Lepisosteus oculatus: one gene and its partners. The protein of the gene in region 3 interacts with the protein of the main gene of each other region in a biochemical or structural test. Links are inferred from orthologs where the notes say so. Each region holds a gene or a part of one and is shown on either strand. Other genes may lie near its edges.

Evidence for each region.
Region 1: the proteins of topbp1 (region 3) and atrip form a complex in vitro, tested with the Homo sapiens proteins (2 studies listed by BioGRID). The link is inferred for Lepisosteus oculatus from reciprocal best matches to the Homo sapiens genes TOPBP1 and ATRIP.
Region 2: the proteins of topbp1 (region 3) and ticrr form a complex in vitro, tested with the Homo sapiens proteins (2 studies listed by BioGRID). The link is inferred for Lepisosteus oculatus from reciprocal best matches to the Homo sapiens genes TOPBP1 and TICRR.

Annotation. Positions count from the first base shown.
Region 1 is NC_090699.1:61,370,097-61,377,814, forward strand, and holds the start of atrip (ATR-interacting protein), read right to left. Parts: upstream 3,008-7,718; 5' UTR 2,881-3,007; intron 2,281-2,880; 5' UTR 2,265-2,280; coding exon 1,856-2,264; intron 1,594-1,855; coding exon 1,514-1,593; intron 718-1,513; coding exon 547-717; intron 1-546. Other genes in the region: protein BTG1, read left to right, coding at 4,594-4,711, 5,127-5,476. UniProt on the Homo sapiens protein: Required for checkpoint signaling after DNA damage. Required for ATR expression, possibly by stabilizing the protein.
Region 2 is NC_090700.1:60,756,496-60,763,604, reverse strand, and holds the start of ticrr (treslin), read left to right. Parts: upstream 1-4,102; 5' UTR 4,103-4,533; coding exon 4,534-5,232; intron 5,233-5,620; coding exon 5,621-5,903; intron 5,904-6,335; coding exon 6,336-6,574; intron 6,575-6,981; coding exon 6,982-7,109.
Region 3 is NC_090701.1:16,016,981-16,024,197, forward strand, and holds the start of topbp1 (DNA topoisomerase 2-binding protein 1), read right to left. Parts: upstream 3,001-7,217; 5' UTR 2,670-3,000; intron 851-2,669; 5' UTR 835-850; coding exon 748-834; intron 69-747; coding exon 1-68. Other genes in the region: dnaJ homolog subfamily C member 13, read right to left, coding at 6,054-6,151. UniProt on the Homo sapiens protein: Scaffold protein that acts as a key protein-protein adapter in DNA replication and DNA repair. Composed of multiple BRCT domains, which specifically recognize and bind phosphorylated proteins, bringing proteins together into functional combinations.

The sequences.
Region 1 (7,718 bases), on a different chromosome or scaffold from region 3:
CCTGCAGAGGCCCGCCCACGGTCAATTAGCGAAAGGAGGAAGATTCCAATTAGTAATCTAATTAATCTCAATTAATGAGACTGAGAGGAATTCATCTCAACACGTAGTCTGCCTGAGCACTTTTACACTTTGAGCCACATGGCAACCCTACCCTTTGAGCATTTTAGCTTTAAAAGAGCCAACAGTGTCCAAGAATAACCAGCTGAGACTTAGAAAACAGACAATATGTGGAAAGTGAACTGGCAACGTGCAACTCAACACTACATAAAAATGGCAGAGAACCTGCCTTTCAGACCCCACTTTGCTCCAGTCTCACAGTGATTCTAACCAACATGATTGCAGAAGAAGAAGAAGAATTCCTTACACTTGTACAGTGTTTTTCTGGACACTCCACTCAAAGCACTTTACAGGTAATGAGTAATCCCACTATCACCACCAATGTGCAGCCCCCACCCGGATGACGTGATGGCACCCATAGTGCGCCAGTATGCTCCCCACATACCAGTTCTCAGTGGGGAGAACAGATGCAAAATGTATAGAGCTGACCTTCTTTGCCAGCTCCTTCTCCTTTTCACTCTGGATGTTGGCTCTTTCTTTCTCCAAGAGGAGCTGGGCTTTTCTCTGCTTGTCCCGCTCTTGCTCTGTGTGCTGCAGAGAGTCCCGCAGCACTCGGATCTCCCCGTTCTTCATCAGCAGCTGAGACTCCGCTTCCTTCAGCTGACAGGGAGGGGAGGGAGAAAGAAAAGAGATATCGCTCGTTAGACCCTTTTCCGAGTTAACCACACGACTTTGGTAAGTCAAGCTGAGATTTCTTTATTCCAATAAAGAAAGGAGGACAGACAGACTTAACAGGTTAACCTTGTGTCTCACTCACTTTCGTAAGGACAGCAACAGGCTTTTATTCTTGAAGATGAGCAAAATTTTCAGACACAAACATACATTTCTGATTGGACAGTATCAATTTCTTACCATATCAGGTGTAAACAAGGTCAGAAAGTCAAGCCGTTAGGTCAGCCTCAAGCTGACCAATTAACCAAGCAATTAACCAAGATCCCTAATTAACTAAGACCCCTGCAGCTTTTCACGTTGCTAAAAAGCATAAGATACGTGAGTTACAGCTCCAATCAAAGACTTTGAAGAAAACCCAGCAAGCTGGGAATGCACAAAAAAACCAAATAGTTCTTGCGGGCTTTATTGTTAACTCATGACCGGCATACGTTCATTCAACTCAGACATTTTTAATGAGTAGGAAATGTCTGCTCAATATGGACTTCAACAGCCAAACTGACCAAAATTCTCCATGACACTAGACAGAATCCCTATCCCAACTCAAGGAGTGGGTAACGATGTCTAATAGAATACTTGAAGTAACTATGGTGTTTCATAGTACTGAAATTTGAGATTTTTTAAAAAATTGAGCATAAAGTGACAATACTGTCACAGTTGTACATAAGAAGAACCTTTAAGCCATATTCCAATTTTTCAAAAAACATTTAATTTAGTGCAAGCTCACCTTTTTCTTAAGCTCTTCATGTTGAGCTTCAAATGACTCGTAGAATGCTTCTCTGCCTCTCCTGAATTGTTCTCCATTTCCTGTCAGGAAATCCCAAACCCACAGTCTTTTTAATCATGAAATGAGCGAGCAGCAGGAGTGGTTCCTTTGCAAAGTCACTGGTTAACACTTACTAAATGAAACAGGGGAGTTAATGTAACAATTGTATACATTGCACAACAAATACTTTTGTTCTACTAGAAAAGCTGCTGATAGTTTCCACTCCCCTGCATTACAATTAATTTTATACAAGATAACATGTATGCACTCTAATGTGTTATGAACAACATTTTAAAAGCATACCGCAGGTTTCCTTGGTTGTGGATCTGTCAGAGGTGCCCAACTTGCTCAGCCCACCATCGCTGCCCACATGATAACTGTTGCCAATAGCAAAGGTAGTTCTGACCTCTGCTGTTGGCCTGCTTTTCGTGGTTTGTTCAGGTTTGTTCGCTTCCACAGGCTCAGTAAATGCCTGGGATGCAATAGTATCAATCTCATCCAGATCATCTTGTGTAAAGTCATCGTCCTCTCCGAAGCAATCGGCCACGTTCTGACCTGCTCCCTTATGGCGCTTCAGAGGAGGGCACTCCATGCCATGGTCTCCGGGTGAACGTCGTCCAGTGACGGCAGAAAGCCCCGCTACCGAAGCACCCAATTTGTCTTGAGCAACACTGATATTTCTCCTGTTCGCATAAATATTGTAGTCAGACATCCTGACAATCAGTACTCTGGAAGATCAGAAAAGAATAAACAAAATATTAAAACTAAATAACAGACCTCACAATAAGTAAAGATCTTCTTCTCCGATCAGCACCAGAGCTTTTAACCCTGGTGTTTACTGTATGCCCACTGTATACAGTATGTGTACCCGGACCGTAATTTATGAATGGCGGAAAGAAGAAAAAACATATTTTCTGGTCGGGTAAGGACCGAATACCTTCGAATATCAATAAAACCGAAAGCGCTTAAGGCAAAAGCATGTTTAGAAAAAAGTTTTTAAAATTCAAAAATATTAATTTCCGTGACAAACTGGGGAGGTTACACCGAAAACCGAAAGCAAATGAGATGTTTTAAATCCTCTTTAGAAAAGAAGGATGAACACATCGGGTTTATCTTAACGTTTAACAAAATGCTTATCATTCGTAAATGGACAATTATATAAAGAAGTAAAGCTATATATTAAATATTTAATATATATTATATTAGAAAGTGGGAATGACTGAACTACTGCTCACACATTTTTAACTCAAACAAAACTTCGCTAACTTTTTGGGAGAAACAGAAAATAAAGTATCTGAAATAAAACTGAATACGTCCTGAAAACAAACCTGATATTAAATCACACAATTCCATTGCGTAGTGCCACTTCAATTATACAATTCTCATATTCAGACTGCAAAAGCAGACCCGAACTAACACATCCTCATCTCATTCTACATACTTTACAATATTGATTTCTGCACTCTAGACGTCTCAAGTACCACAGCCAATCATATCGCAGGTTCTAACAATAACTGTGAAGTAAGACGCGATTCTATTGGAGAAAAAGGCAGTTGCTGTCTACGGAAAGCGAATAGGACACATTTTGTTTCCGCCGTTAGAGCGGAAGTTATCTTCAACAAAACAGAACAGGGCATAGTAGGATAGCTACGAAGCGTATTATTGTGTTTTTATTGAACTCTTTGCAATCACACATTTTGCCCTTACAGTATGGGAGACCAGGTGTTAAATGTTCCCCTAATGTTTTCCTTCCAGTTTTAACTGACCTCGATATTTGTTCTTGAATAATTAAACGCGTTTCCTTTATGTTAAATATCAAAGAACAGTAGTCTTCTGTAGCTTTGGTATTCCAGTGTTTGTGCACTTTAGCAAAATTATTTTACCTCGGTCACTCGCATGCCAAGCTAGGAAGGATACATGCTTTATTTTCTATTTCGTTCTCCATGAAACTCCACGTGGTTTCTCCCTTTTTTTTAGAGACTCGGTTCGTAGAAAACCTTTTGTTAAAATCACCATGAATAATTACCAGGAGCTACATCAATACGCCTAGTTTGGGCAGCTTTAATAATATAGTACTCAATTTTTTTTAAAGTAGTGCTGTTGTACATACTACAAAACAATGAAAGAAATAACAAGTGAATTCCAAAAAACGGGGGCAAGTTATTAGTTTAACTGTAACATCCCTCTGCTAAAAAAAAATATATTTAAAATGTTCTCCGATTACTCTGGTATTCATTCGAAGGAGTTAGAAAGGCTGGGTATAAGGGTCAAGAAGAGGTTTATTCTATGCTGAAAGCAAAAACTAGGGGAAAAAATCCGCCGTGGAAAACGCTTTTTTTCAAGGTTACGTGTTTAGACCTAACCACTGCTTATTTGCGATAGTTGTTTGTTGCTTTCATTTGAATAACGTCTGCTCCCTGATCTTCCGTTTTATTCATTTGCTAAAACGGTTACAGGTCTCCCCGTCCTGCCAGGTCCAGCTACTTAGGGCTTGTTTGTGTACGTGCAGGAGCCGAGCTGGGCTTTGTGACGTCACCCCCCCAACCTCACAATGCAATTGGCTGCAGCGGAGCTGTGACGCGCAACAATGTTTACCAGCTGAGTAAGTGGGCAGTTTTGCTGGTAGAGGAGAGATTAACTTGGTTAGCGGGGGTGGAAGAGACTGTGTTAAATTAGAACAAAAAAAAATCGATAAGTAGGCAGTTGTTTCAGATTAAAATACATTATATTTCATCTATATACTTACACTTGACGAACGGACACGTTTAAACGGTTTTTGATCGGAGTTTTTCCCCCTTTTTTGTACAAAGGGAAAGTATTGCTTAGCGTCAGACAGGCCCAGCCTTATTGTTCAGTTTGCTTTCCGTCTTCCCAAAATAATCGCTTAAAATTCCGACTTTTTTTCGGTGGATTGATCGCTATTCGGTCACTAAAGCCGTCTCTCGCCTTGCAACAAAGCGATTTGTGTCTGTTGGGAGGTGCAAACACGGGTTGTTTTTCTGGTTTTCGACGGCTCATGAGAAAATTACCCACTCGATAAAATGAAAACTGAGATCTCCACAGCTGCGAAGTTTATCACCCGGTTGCTGAGGACAACTGGTTTCCTGTCCGAAGACCAACTCCAACGTTTTAGTCAGTCTCTGGAAGAAGCCTTGGGAGGTGAGCAAAGGTTTATAAACTCTTTTAACTTTTTTAAAAAAATATTTGAATCGTTCGGTTTTAACGCCGCCTTTTGAGGATATTTTCTCCATCGGTGTCTCCCAAGACCTGATTTATGGCTTGTCGGGACATGAAAGTCCCTTCACTAGAAAGGGTCTATGAACTCTGAATCTGGGCTACAAACGATCAGTGGCGAGGACATTAGACTAGACTTCGTTTCTCAAATACAACCATTCTCTGATATGAGCATTTCTTACTTTTGTCACAGAAAAAAAAAACGCGACCCAGAAAGTGTTAAAGGAATTCGACGCCGGTATATTTCTCTTTTTTTTAATGTACGTTGGGTGGTTTGTTTTTAAATGCTATTTTGAAAGTTCAACCGTTTCTTTCTTTCTTTCTTCTCTTGCTCCCGCAGAACATTACAAACAACACTGGTTCCCACAGGCTCCCTGCAGGGGCTCGGGCTACCGGTGCATCCGGATCAACCACAAGATGGATCCTTTGATAGGAAAAGCCGCCAGCACCATCGGACTCAACCGGGAGCAGCTCTTCACGCTGTTGCCCAGTGAACTGACACTGTGGGTCGACCCGTTCGAGGTTTCCTATCGTATAGGAGAGGATGGGTCCATCTGTGTCCTGTACGAGTCCACGCCACCCGCCATTGTGAATCCCAGTGTGGTGGACAGAAACAGCTGTAAGGAAGAACTCAGGTTCGGAAGGTCTAGCCCTTCCAAGTCGTACAATATGATGACCGTTTCAAGCTAAGCTTTACATACGAAGCTGTTTTTGTACAGTCCTGTATGTATTTTGCCGTCATTTGATAATGTAATTGTTGTTCCTCTTCTTTCTTTAGACATTAAAGTTAAGTATAACTGCCAAAACTATTTGTGTATTGTGGCCAAGGGCTATTGTACAAAATGAGCTGCATTGTAACGTTCCTGGATTGTATGATGTAAATTACATGTACAGTCATGTGGCGGTGTTTTACAGATTTATATTTTAAAACAAATCCTTGGGTATTTGTAATAAAACTCCCATATTTGAGCAGTGCTCTGGATTGGCAGCTTTTTCATTTTTTTGTGCTTTGTTACCAGTGGATGATTTAGGGCTTTAGTAGGGAAAAGGCTTCAAGGTTTTGTACAATGACACAAGGGAGCACACTAATCATGTCTTAAGCACATGTTTTTTTTTAAACATTGATTCCATCTTTTCAAGCGATTATTTTTGCACCATTCACTGTAATGGGCAGGTTTTGTATAAAAGATTAGCTAAATTAATCGGAATGCAGTTTCCTTCACAATCTTCTAATTAACCTGGCTTTTTGGCTTCCGAACAACACAGAACACAAAACTTAGAAGATCAGAAGTGGCAGTGGCTACTTGTGTAATTTCTCTTTCTACATTAGTTTCCTGCGAATAACATACCTTACACTAATAAAGATGAAAATTCATGTGGAATTAATAGAAATTGTACACACAAAATGTTTAGGGCAATTTCTTCTCATGTAAATTCTTGTCCATGCAGTACTACTGTTTTCGGTTCCACCTGGTTAAGGAAGTATTTGTGATTATGATGCAGACTGCTTCTTGGAATTACATTTCCTAAGTCTTAAATGAAATATAAAAGGTTTTGATTAAACCTGAAATGGTCTGTTCAGTTTGGAAGTACAGTAAGATGGTATTACTTTATTTGGACTCATGGGATGAGATGGTACATTTTTTACTTTGAATTCCACTGTTTTCAAGCAAGTTTCAAGCAACTTGAGATCTATATAGCCTGAAAATCTTATCAGATAGTGTGCTGCTTATATTAGTATATGACACAAGATGCCAGCTGGGAGAAACTCAAGATAATGGGATTAAGTGGTGTACGTTTTATCCTTTTCCTGAGATTTTAAAAAGAAATCAGCGGGTTTGGAGGCCTCTTAAGAAAAAAGAAGCCCCCAAAATGAATGTTTACTTTCATCCAAGATCCTTACTTTGATTTATACAAGAGCCCCTTTATATAGGCTCCTTGTTAAGAAAATTAACCAGTTCAACCTAGTTAATCCAAGAAAAAAGCATTGATTAAATTATGAACGATCATGATACTTGAAAGTGACATTTTATAATCCATCAAAGCAAAAATGTTTTAAATCAACAGGAAAAGGAACTGTTGGAGTAATAATAAACTTTATTTTATATAGTGCCTTTAAACGTGGCTTCTCAAAGCGCTTTACAGGATGACAACAACAATAAATAAGAAGAATACACAAGATAAAACACAATAACATATAGAGGAGACCGTGGATGGTGGTACTAAGAAAAGCAGAGGGGTGAAGAATGGAACCAGTTAAGTAAAGGCTTTTCTGAAGAAGAGGGTTTTGAGTCTGGTTTTGCTCAGATATATTATAACTGTTTTTATTTTTATAATTTTCTCAGAGTAAGAGTAAGACAACACAAATATCACACAATACTGGGGATTACTCCACAGCCCCACTGAGTAGTTTTAAGGGGTATAGGTCACGTCTTGTTTTATATATTTCACAAAAGAGTGTTTTTCCAGATTCACACAAACATTTGTAATTTGTACATTACATGAAATACAACTGCATTCTTTTCTATCTTCAGAAAAGGCCTGCCTGAATTACTTTTCTAACTAGAACTCAGTTGATATCTGTCTTATACAAAATGTACATAAGAAAAACTATCGTGTACACAAATGGTCTGCCACCAATGTAACCACACAATTTGGTAGTCAAAATTATGTTGTTGTTTCTTACAAAAGGAAGGAATGCATTCAATATCATAATAGGATGTCAGGTCTTAAAAACTTGCTGAACAGACTTAAAAGACTTCAACAACTGCAGATTCATTTGAATTGTGAATGAATAGCGCAAGAATAAGACGTATTTATCTGACCTGGAATATCACAGTCGTTGTTCTCATTGCATCATTTCAGAAGCTTTTTTGTATCCTATGTTTGTGAAATACAGTAGGCTATACTACCTAGAAGCAGGTACTTTGTT
Region 2 (7,109 bases), on a different chromosome or scaffold from region 3:
CCTGAAGCCGGGAAGGAGGCGATGGACGCGACATGCAACCCGACGCACGGCTCCGGGAGCTCCGGTTTCTTGGCCCCTTACCGGGACCGATACACATTACGTAGCGGCACTCCACATGCACCTCCCGGGTCTCCTAAAATAGCGAAACTTTCTCGTGCCTTGCCCCCCTGATAAGTCTCTTTTTAGCTCCTCCTCGTCTGCATCTTACAACGCGTAAAATTGCCTCTCCTCGAAAGCGCCGGTCACATTTTAAACATCTATCCTACTTTACGTGTTCAAGGAATTTCTTATGCCACAGGTAAAAAAAAAAAAACAAAAAAGGCAAAACGGGAAAAAAAACTCTACCCCCCCTGCCCCCCTTTCCGCGCAAGACACGACCTGGGCGACAAGCGGCCCACAAACCTCAGGAAACACGTCACAGCGAGGGAGAACACGGGCGTGGAACAAAACAAGCTCGGGCACGCCTTCTTCCCAGCCACGGGCCTCCTCGCCTTGGTGTCTGAGGATCTAGTGCCACCTAAGGGGCTGCGGCAGAACTGCAGCCCGCTCCTGCTTTCTCACTTCCCAGATCGATCGGGGGGGCTTGTCGGCGCGGCCTGCTCCTTCTGTGCTGCCGGAGAGGCTGAGCCGATCGATTATCTCGTCCATGCGTGAAGGGGGCTCGGGGAATCGGCTTTAACTACATAGCTGCAGGGCAGTTGGCTCTAGAATATTTTCACAACAGGGTTGTTGATACTGGACGAATTGCCGATCTCAGTCAGAAATGTGGAATTTACAACTTACTCCAAATGCATCACGCTCTGAAGCAGTTTGAGACCTCACATTTTTGTACTCTCTCTCCTCATCTGTTTGCTGTTCAAGACTAAAAAGGTTTAGTTCCTCTAATCTGATACTGCTTTAAAGCCAGTAAATTAAACTCATTGCTTCTTCTTTGAACTGATTCCACAGAAACGATATCCTCCTTGCAATGGGGCAACCAAAACTGTACTGTATGTAGTATTCTAAAATGTAGTCATACTGCCATTGTCTAATTTGAACAACTTTTCTAAAGTTGACCTCAAAACCAAGCCCAACACTTTATTGGAGCTTTTTCTCTTGCTTTCACAGGCTGTCTGGATGTGGACACGGAGGTGTCAGCGTAAATGCCGAAACTGTTTTCATTAAAGTCGCTTATACAAATGAGAGCAGGCCTTTTTTCGCCATGTTCATTTAAGTTTGTTGTACATCATGTAACTAGTACTGGTACATCATGCTGGTCAGTGCGATACAACCCCTCTAGAAGAGCCAGTTGAACCTCAGCATACAAGGAAGGAGGAGCACACAGAGAAAACCCCCACAAATACAGGGAGAACATGCAAACTCCAGTCCAGGGCTTCAGAGCTTCAATGCCGGAGAACTTAGTACCCTGTAGTTGCTTTTACCTGGAGGTAATATTTTGCAGTGGTCTACATTAGGTTTGACTTCTCTACAGGTTCCAACTGAATGACCTCATCATTGGCTTAATTGAACTAATTTATCAGTTTCGCACAGCACTAAGGGGGGTGCTTTAAAGAGAAATAGGAAATCAGAAGACACACCTCCCTGTCCTATGGTGTAAATGTAATGTGGCATTCAATGTCATGACCAAATCTGCTGGAAGGCAGGCCTGAGTTTTGCATCAATCATCTTTATTCTGCCTTTTTTCAGCGATATGGAAATGACGCTATCAATCTTCCTGCTCTCGCTTTTCTCTGCCCTGCTCCCCGGTAACCGTTACAAGAACATTAAGGCATGTACCTCCAGATTGAGAGAGTTTCTTCCCGCAAACGGTCAGATTATTGAATTCTGCGTCTACTACCGTCTCAGACTGATGTTTTTTTTTCACATTACTCGTTGAAGAAAAAAAATGAGTTTCAAGTTGAGTGTTATTATTTGTTGTTAATTTGTCTCTAAGTTGATATTTCCTTGATATCTTTGTATGGAGCATACATGCAAATAAGCAATTAATCGCACTTGAGCGTGTGACAAGTAAACTGAGCTCTGACCTTTTGTGCAGACAGCACTTTAATTGCAATATCGATCCTTGTAGATCAGACACGAAGGATCTGGCTGTAGTAAAACTCTGGAACTGAACATATTGGAGAGAGCCGAAAGTTGCGTATCCCAGCCGTAACGGGACACGAAATCCTGTAGTCACTGCTTCTGCACAATTCGTGCAGACACATATTCATCCGGCTTACAGGATTTCATTATAGACTAGTCAATTATTGAAAAGTACTGCATTAGCTGTGTGCACGGCCATCTTGTTTATTTTGCTTCCGAGCACGAAAACCTCAGTACGGTCTTGCATGTTTATTCCAGAGAAGGATTCCTTAAAGTTCACCTCTTCTTGTTAACTCCTACTTCTACGGTGTTACGTATGCACCGATAACAAATACCTTCTTACTCAAATTAGAATCACTAAAAGGGAAAGTAATAGTTTCACCGCTCCGATAAAGCTTACATTTTGGACTACCGTAAATTACAAGTGAAAGATTATTCACTGTAATATATTATAGAACAGTTTACACAGATACGACACCTGAAGAAGGCTCCACGGCCGAAACGTTGTGTTTTTTCTCTCTTCTTTTTTTCAGCATGGAATATACCTATTACTTGTTACGATAGTATAACAACCTACTTCTTTTAACAACTCTAGGTATATACGACGTTCCTACTGTATATACCTTCATGAACACAGTACTTTAAAAGTGAAGTGCAACAATGTTTCATGATTTAAGCAGCTGGTTGAGCCGAGCACCTTAAAACGAATCGTATTACCTTCTCAGGAAATATATTTGAACCCAGTGCCATTTAAAAAAGTAATGACGTAAATAGCTCAGCATTACACATGAATTTAAAATGCTTGACAAAACAGGCATGTTTAAACGACATACTTGCCTTTACAGTGTTGGTGTCACAGTGTCCATGTTTTCAAAATAAAAAGAAAATTCGCAGGAAACGAAAAAGTAATGACCAGCGAAACGACGTCTCAAAGTAGAACGGGAATTACCGTTCCAGATAAAGATTTAATTCCACCTGAGGCAATCGTGGGTTGAACACTAATCACATTCAGGTGGGTATAGATCAAAGTGCACATACATTCACACAGGATGGTGTTTGCATGTTTTTTTTAACAAAGCCTTTTATCTTGCAGATGAATAAAGTGATACCTCCTTTCTGGTTTTTAAGAAGACCTTTATTGGTAAACATAATGCCAAAATAAAATTACAGTTTCGAAGTTATTTTTAAAAAATATTTAAAATATAAGATTCAAATTAAACAAATTTCTGTGTTGTCTGTGCTAAGCTGCTGTTGCACTGCAATTTCCCTCACGGGATCAATAAAGTATCTATCTAAAAAAAATATTCTAATTAGAATTATATATACAATATCAATAATTACAATCGCCATTTCCCTATAAATGATACATTGTCAGTCTTTGCCCACAATGTGCTTGAATCCGAAACGTTGTCCAAAGGATCGTCGTATTACAAAAACAGCAATATGACAAAAGTATTATTTCTTACTTTCCATTTTTATTAATAAAGCCTACGAAACTTTTATACTGCATTAGCGACATTTCAATAAAGATGACAATTTATGTAATTTGGGCAATGCTAATAAATCACGTTTCGGGTAAAGTATTAAATCACCCCCTTTTCGAAAAGCATACATATTTGATTCCGTGAGCATTAATTACGGTGTCAAACACAACACTTATTAACATTTTATTTTCACACTTCATCGAAAGCATGACGTCTCATCCCCCAGCAATCTCTTTAAAATTTTAAACTTCAGAAATGTGTGCCAGTGGGTGGAATTTCATGCCGTTCTGCACAATTCCGCCAATCAGCAACCGAGATAGTGACACTCTCTACGGTACACCAATCACAGCCCTTTATTCTGGACTTCGTCATATCAGAGACGGTCTATGGGCCATTTAGTTGTGTTAAGCCCGCCTTCTGTCGATTGTGGTCCAATGAGAAAGATGAATTTTCAGATTGTGGCCTATGGGATTAGAGTGGGCGGGCGGTTGAGTCCGGAGCGCCAAGAGTTTGAGTTGAGTAACCATAGGGCAAAGATGGCGACTATGGGTGAAAGTGTTATATTTTTTTCTTTTTGTATTGAAGGATAATCTGAGTTTTTGGTGTGCGAGAAGGTATTTTAGAGAGATTACGGATTGCAAAAATAGGGTAGGGCGAATTTGAGTTACCGCGTTGTGTGTAAGATAGTATTTTGACACCAGCCTGGTTTAAATGTTATCACTTGCTTGGCATTCAGCTCCTTGCATACGTGTTATGGTTACGTTTATAGATTTTGTAAATCTTTTGATAGTAACTGAACCAATTGGCTGAAAAAAAAACATGTATGTCATGCCAGACCTCAGCAGTGATCGACTAGCGGGCGAAAGACGTTGTGCGTTGTTATGTAGGTGATAAAAATTGAATCTACCAGGCGGTACAGATCCTTGTTTGTCACTTCTTTACGAAACGAGAAAAGCAATCGGGAGTCATGGTTTCCTTTAATTTGGTATTCGTGATTGACATTTCCGATCGGGGAAATAATAGGTCTGGCGATGGTGGCGTTCATATCAGACCGCATCTTCTGAAACAGGGCGTGCTGAAAATCCTCCTCTATTTCGGCTGCAGATTCGGTTTTGAGAAAGTCCGATGGGGCTATAAATTTTACGACGTTCACGGAGGCCGATGTATCGTATCCAGGGCTTCCGACTTCAAAGAACTTCTGGACAAGACTTTCGAGGATTTTGAAGGGGAATTTCAGGAGAAACTCGAGGAGAAAAGGGTTAGAAATACGGCAGCGGCCCCGGGTAACTCGCTCATAAACCCGGTCCGATCTGTCCACACAGTATTGAAAGAGACTTTACTGGATTTCCAGTGGGACAGACCAGATATTACCTCCCCGACCAAGATAGCGTTGCGTCCCAGAAGACGGCTCCGGGCTGAAAGTAAAATGACCCCACACCTCACTTTGGCAGAGGAGGACCTGTCGGGGAAGAGTCAAAATATTTTGTTCCTCGTCTCCGCCTGTCCGCGCTCCCGGGGGGAGGTGGAAGAGTTCCTGACGCGCCCGGGGGCCTGCGGAGAGCCTCGCAAAGAGCTGGCAGAGCGCATCCTGCCCAGGGCTCTCCAGGAGATGGTCGCCCAGAATAAAGTCGTCCTTCACTGGGTGGATGCAACAGTCAACTCCCATGTAAGTCGCTTTAATTTCCAAGAGTTGTCAAACTACCCGTTTACTTAGCGAAACCGCTCTTCAATGTCACCTTTTGGTCGGATTGATTCTATAATATAATTCTAATGTTCTTAACTGGGTGGAATTCAGCCTTTTGAGAGAGAGGAGTTTATCTGCCACCCGTACATGTGCATTGGGATTCTCCTTCGCGCTGTTCTCTTGTGGTGTGTACAGTGCAATAGACCACACCACACCGTAGGCACATTACATAATGATATAGTAAAGGATCAATAATGACCGTCGCACAATAGTACAGGTCAGTGAACACACACGGGACAGCAGATCTGTGACAGCCATTGAGACGTGCCGAGTGCAGGTGGGAGTCAGATGCTCCTCTGTGTACTTGCAGGTGTGCAGGCCTGCCGACCACACTGGCTGCGAGTTGGTGTCGGAGGTGCTGAGACAGGTCGGCGGGAGCGTCCTGCCCTTGGATGCTCTGCTGTGGCTGTCGGAGCCTGGGAAGAGCGGCCTCGGAGGACCGGCACAGAGCTGGGATCACGAGTGGCCTCTCGCCCGCGGAGGAAGAGAAGCCGTCTTCCCTCTGGACTCCAGCCTCAGCTGCCTTCTGTCTTCAGAGCAGCTATACCGGGTTGCCTTTCCCAGCCAGACTGGAGTGCTGCAGTGGGGAGCAGGTACTGAGCCTCCGACTCTTTAATCAGCTTAAATAACAAGTAACTCATGCTAGGTGAGAGTCTGACACCCAAGCAGAGGGAAAGATGGAGATCAATGTAAGGTAAATGAGAACTGCATCCTCGTATGACTGCTGTACATATTTTTCTTTGGGGTTTTGCTACTCCAAGGTGATCGTGATTTTATTGAGTCTTTTTGGTTTAGGAATGGATGTAAAGTTCCTGTTACTTTGATGTTACCCATCAGAGACATTTATTTTTTCCCCACTCTGGTCTAAGCTGTGCTTCACATGTCTTGCAACTTGCAACTTATAAAACCCGCAATGGCTTGAACTGCTGTGCATTGGGAGCATTTCTGCTCTGCATCTTGCAGTTGACAGTGAATGCCAGAGCTATGCATCCTCATTTCATGTGTGTTTTGCATGCAATGTACAGGAAAGGAGAGCAAGTCCTGTGCTGTCTCCCTGGAGCCCATGTCCCTCAGGCAGAGGGTGCTGCCCAGCTCGGTGAACATCACGCTTCACGGAGTTCTGTCGGAGTGGAGCGCTCCGGCCCTGGGGGGGCTGAGCTTGGAGGGCTGGGTGTTGCACGACTCCCGGGACCCTGCAGAGACGGCTGCCGAGTCTCTGTTCCTCCAGCTTCTGAACGAACTTTCTTCACAGGCTCTTCACATGGTGAGCGCTCGCTTGGGGAATTATTACACCGCAAAGAGTAAACGTTCCCCAAATATCATGCCTGGAAAAAAGCATGTGTGTGTCGATATCTGTTGTGGGGGGAACAAAACTCAAAATATATTCAGGTAGTTAACGTGAGAAGGTGTCATGGTCTCCTGAGTAAATGCATTTTCACGTCTTTCAAGTATGTTTGTTGCACAACATGTTTTTGTTATTTGGCTTGTTTTCTTACAAGGCACCAGCATGTGAAAGATTTTTTTGATGTTGTTTTTGTTGTGCATGTTTGGCAGTGAATCCCCAGCTGTTACCTTACTTTATTAAGCACATGTTCCTTGCTGTATAAGGACTCAGATGTTAAGTTCCGCCGTCATGTTGTAGAGGCACTGCTTGATCCTTGTCTATCCCAGTTTGCGGAGGTAGAAGGGAGTGACCAGGGCCCCCCCTGCACGGCAGTGTTGTCCCCTCTCTCGGCCTCCACGGGTCTGCTCACCGTCCTCCAGCCTCAGCTGGCTTCAGCCCAAGGCCTTGTGCTCCA
Region 3 (7,217 bases):
TTTAAAAGGAGGGCTTCCTTCTCATCTATATTTTGGAGGTATTTTTCCGATTGCAGCTCTCTGATTGCCTGGAAGACAAAAAATGATTTGTGATGAATTTAGAAACGATGAAAACCAGAATACAGTAATGTGTGGGATACAGATTCCATTAGCAACATCTCCTAAGGAAACAGTAAGACGGAATTAAAATTAGACTAATAAGCTTTTGACAATAATAAATTCCATTCCACTACAATTTCCTCCATCCCAAAAGGATCTCAGAACACTTTAGATTTAGAAGTGGTTCCAGTTGATCCACAACTAATAAGCAGTATATAAATTTAGGTCATGTGGCTGGTTATGTCATTTACGCATATTAAAAACAGCAATGCTATAAGTGATCCATTAGTGGGACATATAAATTACTTAGGAACACGTTTAGTTTATCCCATGCTGAAAAGAGAAGAAATTAAGCAACAGTTCAGCTATGGGACCTTCTTCAGGTGTGTGTATATAAATTACTTTTATACTCCAAATCCTTTGCCTGAAAAGCAAACTGCTATCCTATTACCTTGGCCATTCTGTTTTAACCCTAAGGCTACCCAACCACAGTCAAGCTGACATCATATTAGCGGGCACAAGTCATTAGAACCAAACCTTCTGGAAAAGCCTGGCTTGTCTGTTAGAACCTTGAGTCTATTGTGTATTCACAGCTGTCAGACACAAAGTCAAACAACAGTCCAGGCAGCAGTCAAAGGAACTCCTTACCTCAAAGGCTTTCACGGCACGCTCTGATCTTTCTTCGCTGGTCTTCACAAACTTCACGAGGAATACTCCTTTATCTTCCGTGGACATCCTATATTCAATGTTTCTAAACAAACAGAAATGACAGGAGTTCAAGTAGGTAGCAGCGTCGGCAGGTGTAGGCTGCAAAGGAAAAGGGAACGGGTTTATTCCACGCTGAAATGAAGAGAAGGGAAACACAACGTTTCGGCTGTGGAGCCTTCTTCAGGTGTGAGAAAGACAGGGCAGACGGCAAAGATTAAACAGCACAGGAGAACAAAAGCTGGGAGGAGGGAGAGGCAGAGAGGCCACTCAGGTGGTGCAAAGTGAAGAGGGTTGAAGTCGAAACCTGTATGAGAATAGAGAAGACTACGTGATAATAAGTCTGCCATTAAGAGAAGGGGACCTAGTTTTCAGGAGAAACGAAACGCATCCTGAAACTAGGTTCACACCTTCCCCCTTCTCTCAAAGACAACTTATTTTCATGTAATCTTCTCTATTCTCATACAGGTTTCGACTTCACACATTCCTTCACCCCTCTCCGATATGCATTTCCTGAGTGGCCTCTCTATCTCGCCCCTCTCCCAGCTTTTGTTCTCCTGTGCTATTTAATCTTTGCTGCCTGCCCTGTCTTTCTCACACCTGAAGAAGGCTCCACAGCCGAAACGTTGCGTTTCCTTTCTTTCCTTTTCAGCATGGAATAAACCCGTTACCTGTTCCTTCGCAAACAAAAACAATCACCCTGCAACTCACAACTGGCAACCCACTGAAGCTAAGCAGGTGTGAGCCTGGTCAGTACCTGGATGGGAAACCTACTGGGAAAAACCAAGGTTGCTGCTGGAAGAGGTGTTAGTGGGGCCAGCAGGGGGCGCTCACCCTGCGGTCCATGTGGGTCCTAATGCCCCAGTATGGTGACGGGGACACTATACTGTAAACAGGCGCCGTCCTTCGGATGAGACGTAAAATCGAGGTCCTGACTCTCTGTGGTTATTAAAAATCCCAGGGCTTTTCTCGAAAAGAGTAAGGGTGTAACCCCGGCATCCTGGTCAAATTTCCCATTGGCCCTTACCAATCATGGTCTCCTTATAATCCCCATCTATGAATTGGCTACATTACTCTGCTCTTCTCCCCACTGATAGCTGATGTGTGGTGAGCGTTCTGGCGCACTATGGCTGCCGTGGATGATGCACATCGGTGGTGGTGGAGGGGATCCCCATTACCTGTAAAGCGCTTTGAGTGGAGTGTCCAGAGTGGAGTTTTGAGTGGAGTGTCAAGTGTAAGCAATTATTATTATTAAAAACGATCATATCGCAAGACTGAAACTCCTGCCGCATAAGGTACATCATTGTTTTTCCTGCACTCAGTTACATTAAAAATAGGGTCAGCATAACTGCACCTTGATGTTACAGTTTGAGAACATTTTCAGAACAGTTAACACACAAGGCAATGTAGGGGTAATAATTGTAATATTATGGAACTGAATACGTCTAAAACTGATTGCTCTTGTTTCGTCTTTGTTCTAATGAATAAGAGCCCACCAGTCATCGGACTCTCATCTTCTCTTGAAGAACAGTTAATTAAATACAGGTGTAACAATAATAAAATGTAATAGAGAATAATCCACAACAAATAAGGTCCAACGGCATTTCAAAACACCAAAATAAGAAACCAACCAAAATTCACTGTGGGAAAAGGAACGGAACATAACAATACGATCACATGACGGAACTACAGCTGAGCAAAGCCACGATTTACTGACAACTTGCGGTACTTGCTCAATGCGATCAATGTTCATCAATTTCAAAGCGGACAAGCTCAAACAGTAACTATCAACCCGTCTATTTTTCAAACAGCTGTACACGTGAAGTCAGCGATGTGCGGAAATAATTCAGTAATGCTGAACTTACCACGTCCCGGTTCAACACACCGTGTCCACAAGCAAGTGCATAAAATAAACCGGGAGTTACAATACAAGATCCTGCGAGCTCGTATTTCAGCGTTTCGCGTTTTTAGTCCGGGTTGACAATCCAGTGTTCGGCTAGTATCGCCGTCTTGAGTTTCACACTCAACAACGAAGAGAAAAGAAAAAAGGGAGCGTCTTCTCAAAACAAGTCATTCGTTGAGATAGATACATCATAACAATTTCCCTAAAGAAAGAACACAGGGTATTTTCGATTTGCCACTGATTGGCGCCAAACCTCCACCTCCTTGTCCGGCGCCGGACTTCCTGCCCAGAACCGGTATCTCGCGTCGCTCTGTCTGACGTCATGCCCAGCTGGAGGAGAAGCTGCTCCCTCCAAACAGTAGCACGTGAGATTGTCTTTCCTTTCGCAGTGGGTGTGCAATAGCAGGTATTGCATTGGATTTGGCGACTCGCAATGCTGTTTTAATTGATTATACTTGTTTATAAGCAACATGGACTTAAGTTTTACGTAGTGCAAATTAGAGGATACCTATCTAGAAGAGGTTCTTTACAGGGTTTTCTGACACAAATAATTCGATTGCAATAGTAAACCTGTTTTACTGGTGTTTGAATAGTGTTTTATTACTCAGATTAGCGTGTTTAGCAAACGAACTCTTATATCTACAGAACCTTGTTCAAAACAGTGCAGTTGATTTAAAAAAGCACATCAATAGAGATGTTTTCAGCTTTAAATTTAACGTCGTACAAATGAGAGGATTACTATTGAGAAGATTTTCTTTAAGCAGGATTTTCCGACAAAAAACATATACGACTGCAATAGTAAAGCGTTTTACTGGTATTTGAATAGTGTTTTATACCTCAGATAAACATAAGTAGCTAAAGAGCTGTTTCTATCTACAGTAACTATGCAAAACTACGCAGTTTATTTGAAAAGGAGCGGAATAGAGGGACGTTTTCAGTCCAACAGGAACAGTGACAAGGATCCCAGTTCCACACGCTACTGTCAGCTGCAGTAGAGTCACTGACGTGAGGCCAGCGCTGCTAGCAAAGAGCAAAATTAACCAAATCACAACAAAGCCACACAACACTACCCCACGCACTGGTTCACACTTGAACTGGAATGCTACTGGGTGCAAAGAGATACTGTAAATGTTGACCTGTTTAAAACGACATCGTTGACAAAAAGCTGAGCAAAACGGGAACAAACGGGTTTGCTGCTAGAAAAATTATTTTAGTATTTGTGGACAAGTATTTTGAATTGTTATATATATATATGTACAGTAGAAAGAGACGTTTAACAGAAGTAATGTTTAAGGTGTATAAAAGGACATATGGACAAGAGATTGGGGAGCCTTAAGCCAAGAAATCAAGTTTTTATTTTTGTAATGCAAAAGTATTAAAATTGTAGTGATGTAAATTATTTGTTTATATGTTAATAATATGTTTATAAGTTACATATGGTACCAAACTGTCTACCAAACAAAGCCATCAGGAAGGGAACAGTAGATAATAAATGAAATCCCAGCTTGCTCTCCATGAGACACACAGACTGGGAGAGAGGCTTGGGGTCAGAGTGCAGGGTCAGCCATTTATATGGCGCCCCTGGAGCAGTTGGGGTTAAGGGCCTTGCTCAGGGGCCCAACGGAGTAGGATTCCTCTGCTGGCCTCGGATACGAACCAGCAACCTTCCAGCCACTGGCGCAGATCCTTAGCCACAGAGTCACCGCTCCGCTATATTTGACGTGCATGAATTTCTGCAACATGTAATCTTTATAAAAAGCACGTGTCCTGGATTTGATTTTGAATCAATCAGGGTTCCTGCCATGTAGAGTTGGAATACGTTCTCTGTGTTCATGAGATATTGTGCTCCAGAGAAGCATCTATAAATTGAATCTACATTGTCCCTGTGTGCTTGTGTACGTGTTCTCAGTGACTGGTGTCTCATCCAGAATGTAGGCCACACTTCCTTTCTTTCCTTCTGGGATAGAATCCTGGTTTGCTGTGACCCTTACTAGGAAAAAGCAGCTTTCACATAACAGTTATAATTTGCAAACATCAAAAACATAACAAATGTATTCATAAGAAATTATAAAAAAGTGATCCTAAGGTCATGTATTGTTTGCTAACATTTACTTTACTTAACATTACTTTACTCACCATCATCTATTAATGCAAAACGATCATATCTGACCTTTTTCTATAATGCATAAAATTGCTTTAAGTGTTATACAGTGTAATAGGATACCTGGAGCTTTATTTTTGCATATGGGTGATCCTTTAATAAGTGTCTCTGTTACAAGACAATCACTGATTAAAAGGTAACATGTTCTTGTGAAAAAACTGGCTATTCAAATGTCATTGTCTCTTGAATGATGATCACAGTGAAATTAAGTTAGTTGGCTAACTTAAAGACTCCTTGAGAAGAATTCAGGCTAGTGGCTGAAAACACTGAAGCGTAATAAATGCAGGCCAAATGTTAAGACACAGAACACGATAATGTGTATTCCCTTTGTTTATTCTTAAAATTTTATGTACAGGAGTGGCTGATTTTTTTTCTTCTTAATGTACATTCAATATAGAAAGTTTATATACGGCATATTATATAGAACATTTCACAAACGCACTAGTCTTTTACATAATATTTTAAATCCGAGTCAATATTATTGTTCCTCCTCTTTTTTGCAGAAGCTCATATAAGTTTGTAAAGGCAGTTATACTGTGAGTAGAAATATCTAGTGCTTTTTGTACTCCGGGGGGAAAAAAATATGAAAGAAGGTTTGGGAAGAGGTACAGCAGAAGCAGAGAAGTGCAGGACTTGATCAAATGAACAGTCAATATTACAACTAGATTTCAGAGACAGTGCTGCACACAGCGAGATCCACAACTGATGGTGGAGGTGGTGGACAGGTTTTTTGTTTCTAGAGCAGTACAAGTAGACTGTAATAAAACACCACAGTCGAGTTTTCTTTTTATCTTTAGCACTGTAAAACAACATTATAAAAATTAGGAAAACAATTTATAAATCAGATTCACAGTCTTGTAAACCGATAACACGTTAAGTAGGGCAAGACAAATGCTTGCCTCTGCTTGACACATCTTGTTTGGCGTTTTCTTCAAGGGGCAGGGGGGCTGTGTATCAAAACTGACAAGGTCGAGAGGACAGGAATGACTTCCTTGATCTTTTTGTTTTCTCTCCTTTCTCCCAAATAAAAAATATATTCGTAGAAAAGTAAATTATGCTTGTGTCACTGTGACCAAAAAAAAAAACAAAAAAAGGCAACAACGCTTTGAACAGAATCCTATGGACTGGGGAAGTCTCCACTTCATGTTCCACAGGTCGCTGTCAAGCTCGAAAGACTGAAGCCTTTCAGCCCAAGTCTCCAACGTCATTGTCAACAGGGGGGGGCACACTAGATAGGACTGTGGATCCTGTCCCAGCGGTAAGATAGCCAGCAACTCCGGGACCTGCAGTTGAACATAAAAAAAAAGAAATGAATAAAGTCAAGTTTTCAAATATCACAGAGGTGTTGCAAACAATTATAAAAATGTATTTAAAAAATCCCCCGACACTCTTTAAGAGGCTGGGGTGGTGGTGAAAAACTGTCTCCATCTACAGTTACTCCTAAAGCAGACATTAAAAGATTACAAAGCATTTTGCATAGTTTTTTTTCCACCCATTTGTGAAATGTTTTTAATGGTTCCACTCTGTTAAAAAGCATGCACAGCTGTGGACATATTTCCGCTCTGCTCTGTGACCTTCAACAAAAACAAAGTTTCTATTTGCTAAGCGCAGACTCAGTGTCGGCAAGATCTTCGCTGGTGAATTTTTCAAGTTCAGGTGGAGTGTTCTTTTAAATGGCAAAAGGAGGCTGGAAAGTAAAATTTTATGACCTTTTCAGCAAGTATGTCTAAGAATAAAGGAAAGCGAGCTGGATATCTACTGCATGTTCCCTCATAATGTATTAAGATGAAGATGATATTCATCGGACGTATATTGTGACACAATACGCAAAGAGAAAGGCAACAGTGAAACAGCATGTGATAAAGGAAAACACCAGAACACACTGTGTTCTACCTGCTTCAGAGCTAGAGAGAAGTAAGCAAGAAGCCCTGGGAGAAGAGGTCTAGAGCCCACTTCTGAGGTGATGAGGGCTACTACCACTCAGAAGGGAAGGTGCGGAGACGCCTGAAGAGAAAAGGAAAAAGGAAGGAATGCCAGAGGCGAAGGAAGAGGAGAAGCAGTGTCCAACTAAGAGGGAAAGGGGCAACCGGCACAAATTCCAGAATTAGTAGCACGGCTTCAGAAAATATTTGATTTCTGTCCAAAATATGAATAGTTGAACGTGATCTACTTCATCTAGGTGCATACGGTACATCTCCTGCCACAGTTTCCGTAAGTTTCTTATACGGTTGAAGCAGTTCAGGTGGGGAGCTGCGTCAACATACGCAGGCTGCAAAGGAACAAGTAACAGGTTTATTCCATGCTGAAAAGAAGAAAGAAAACACACCATTTCGGCTGTGGAGCCTTCTT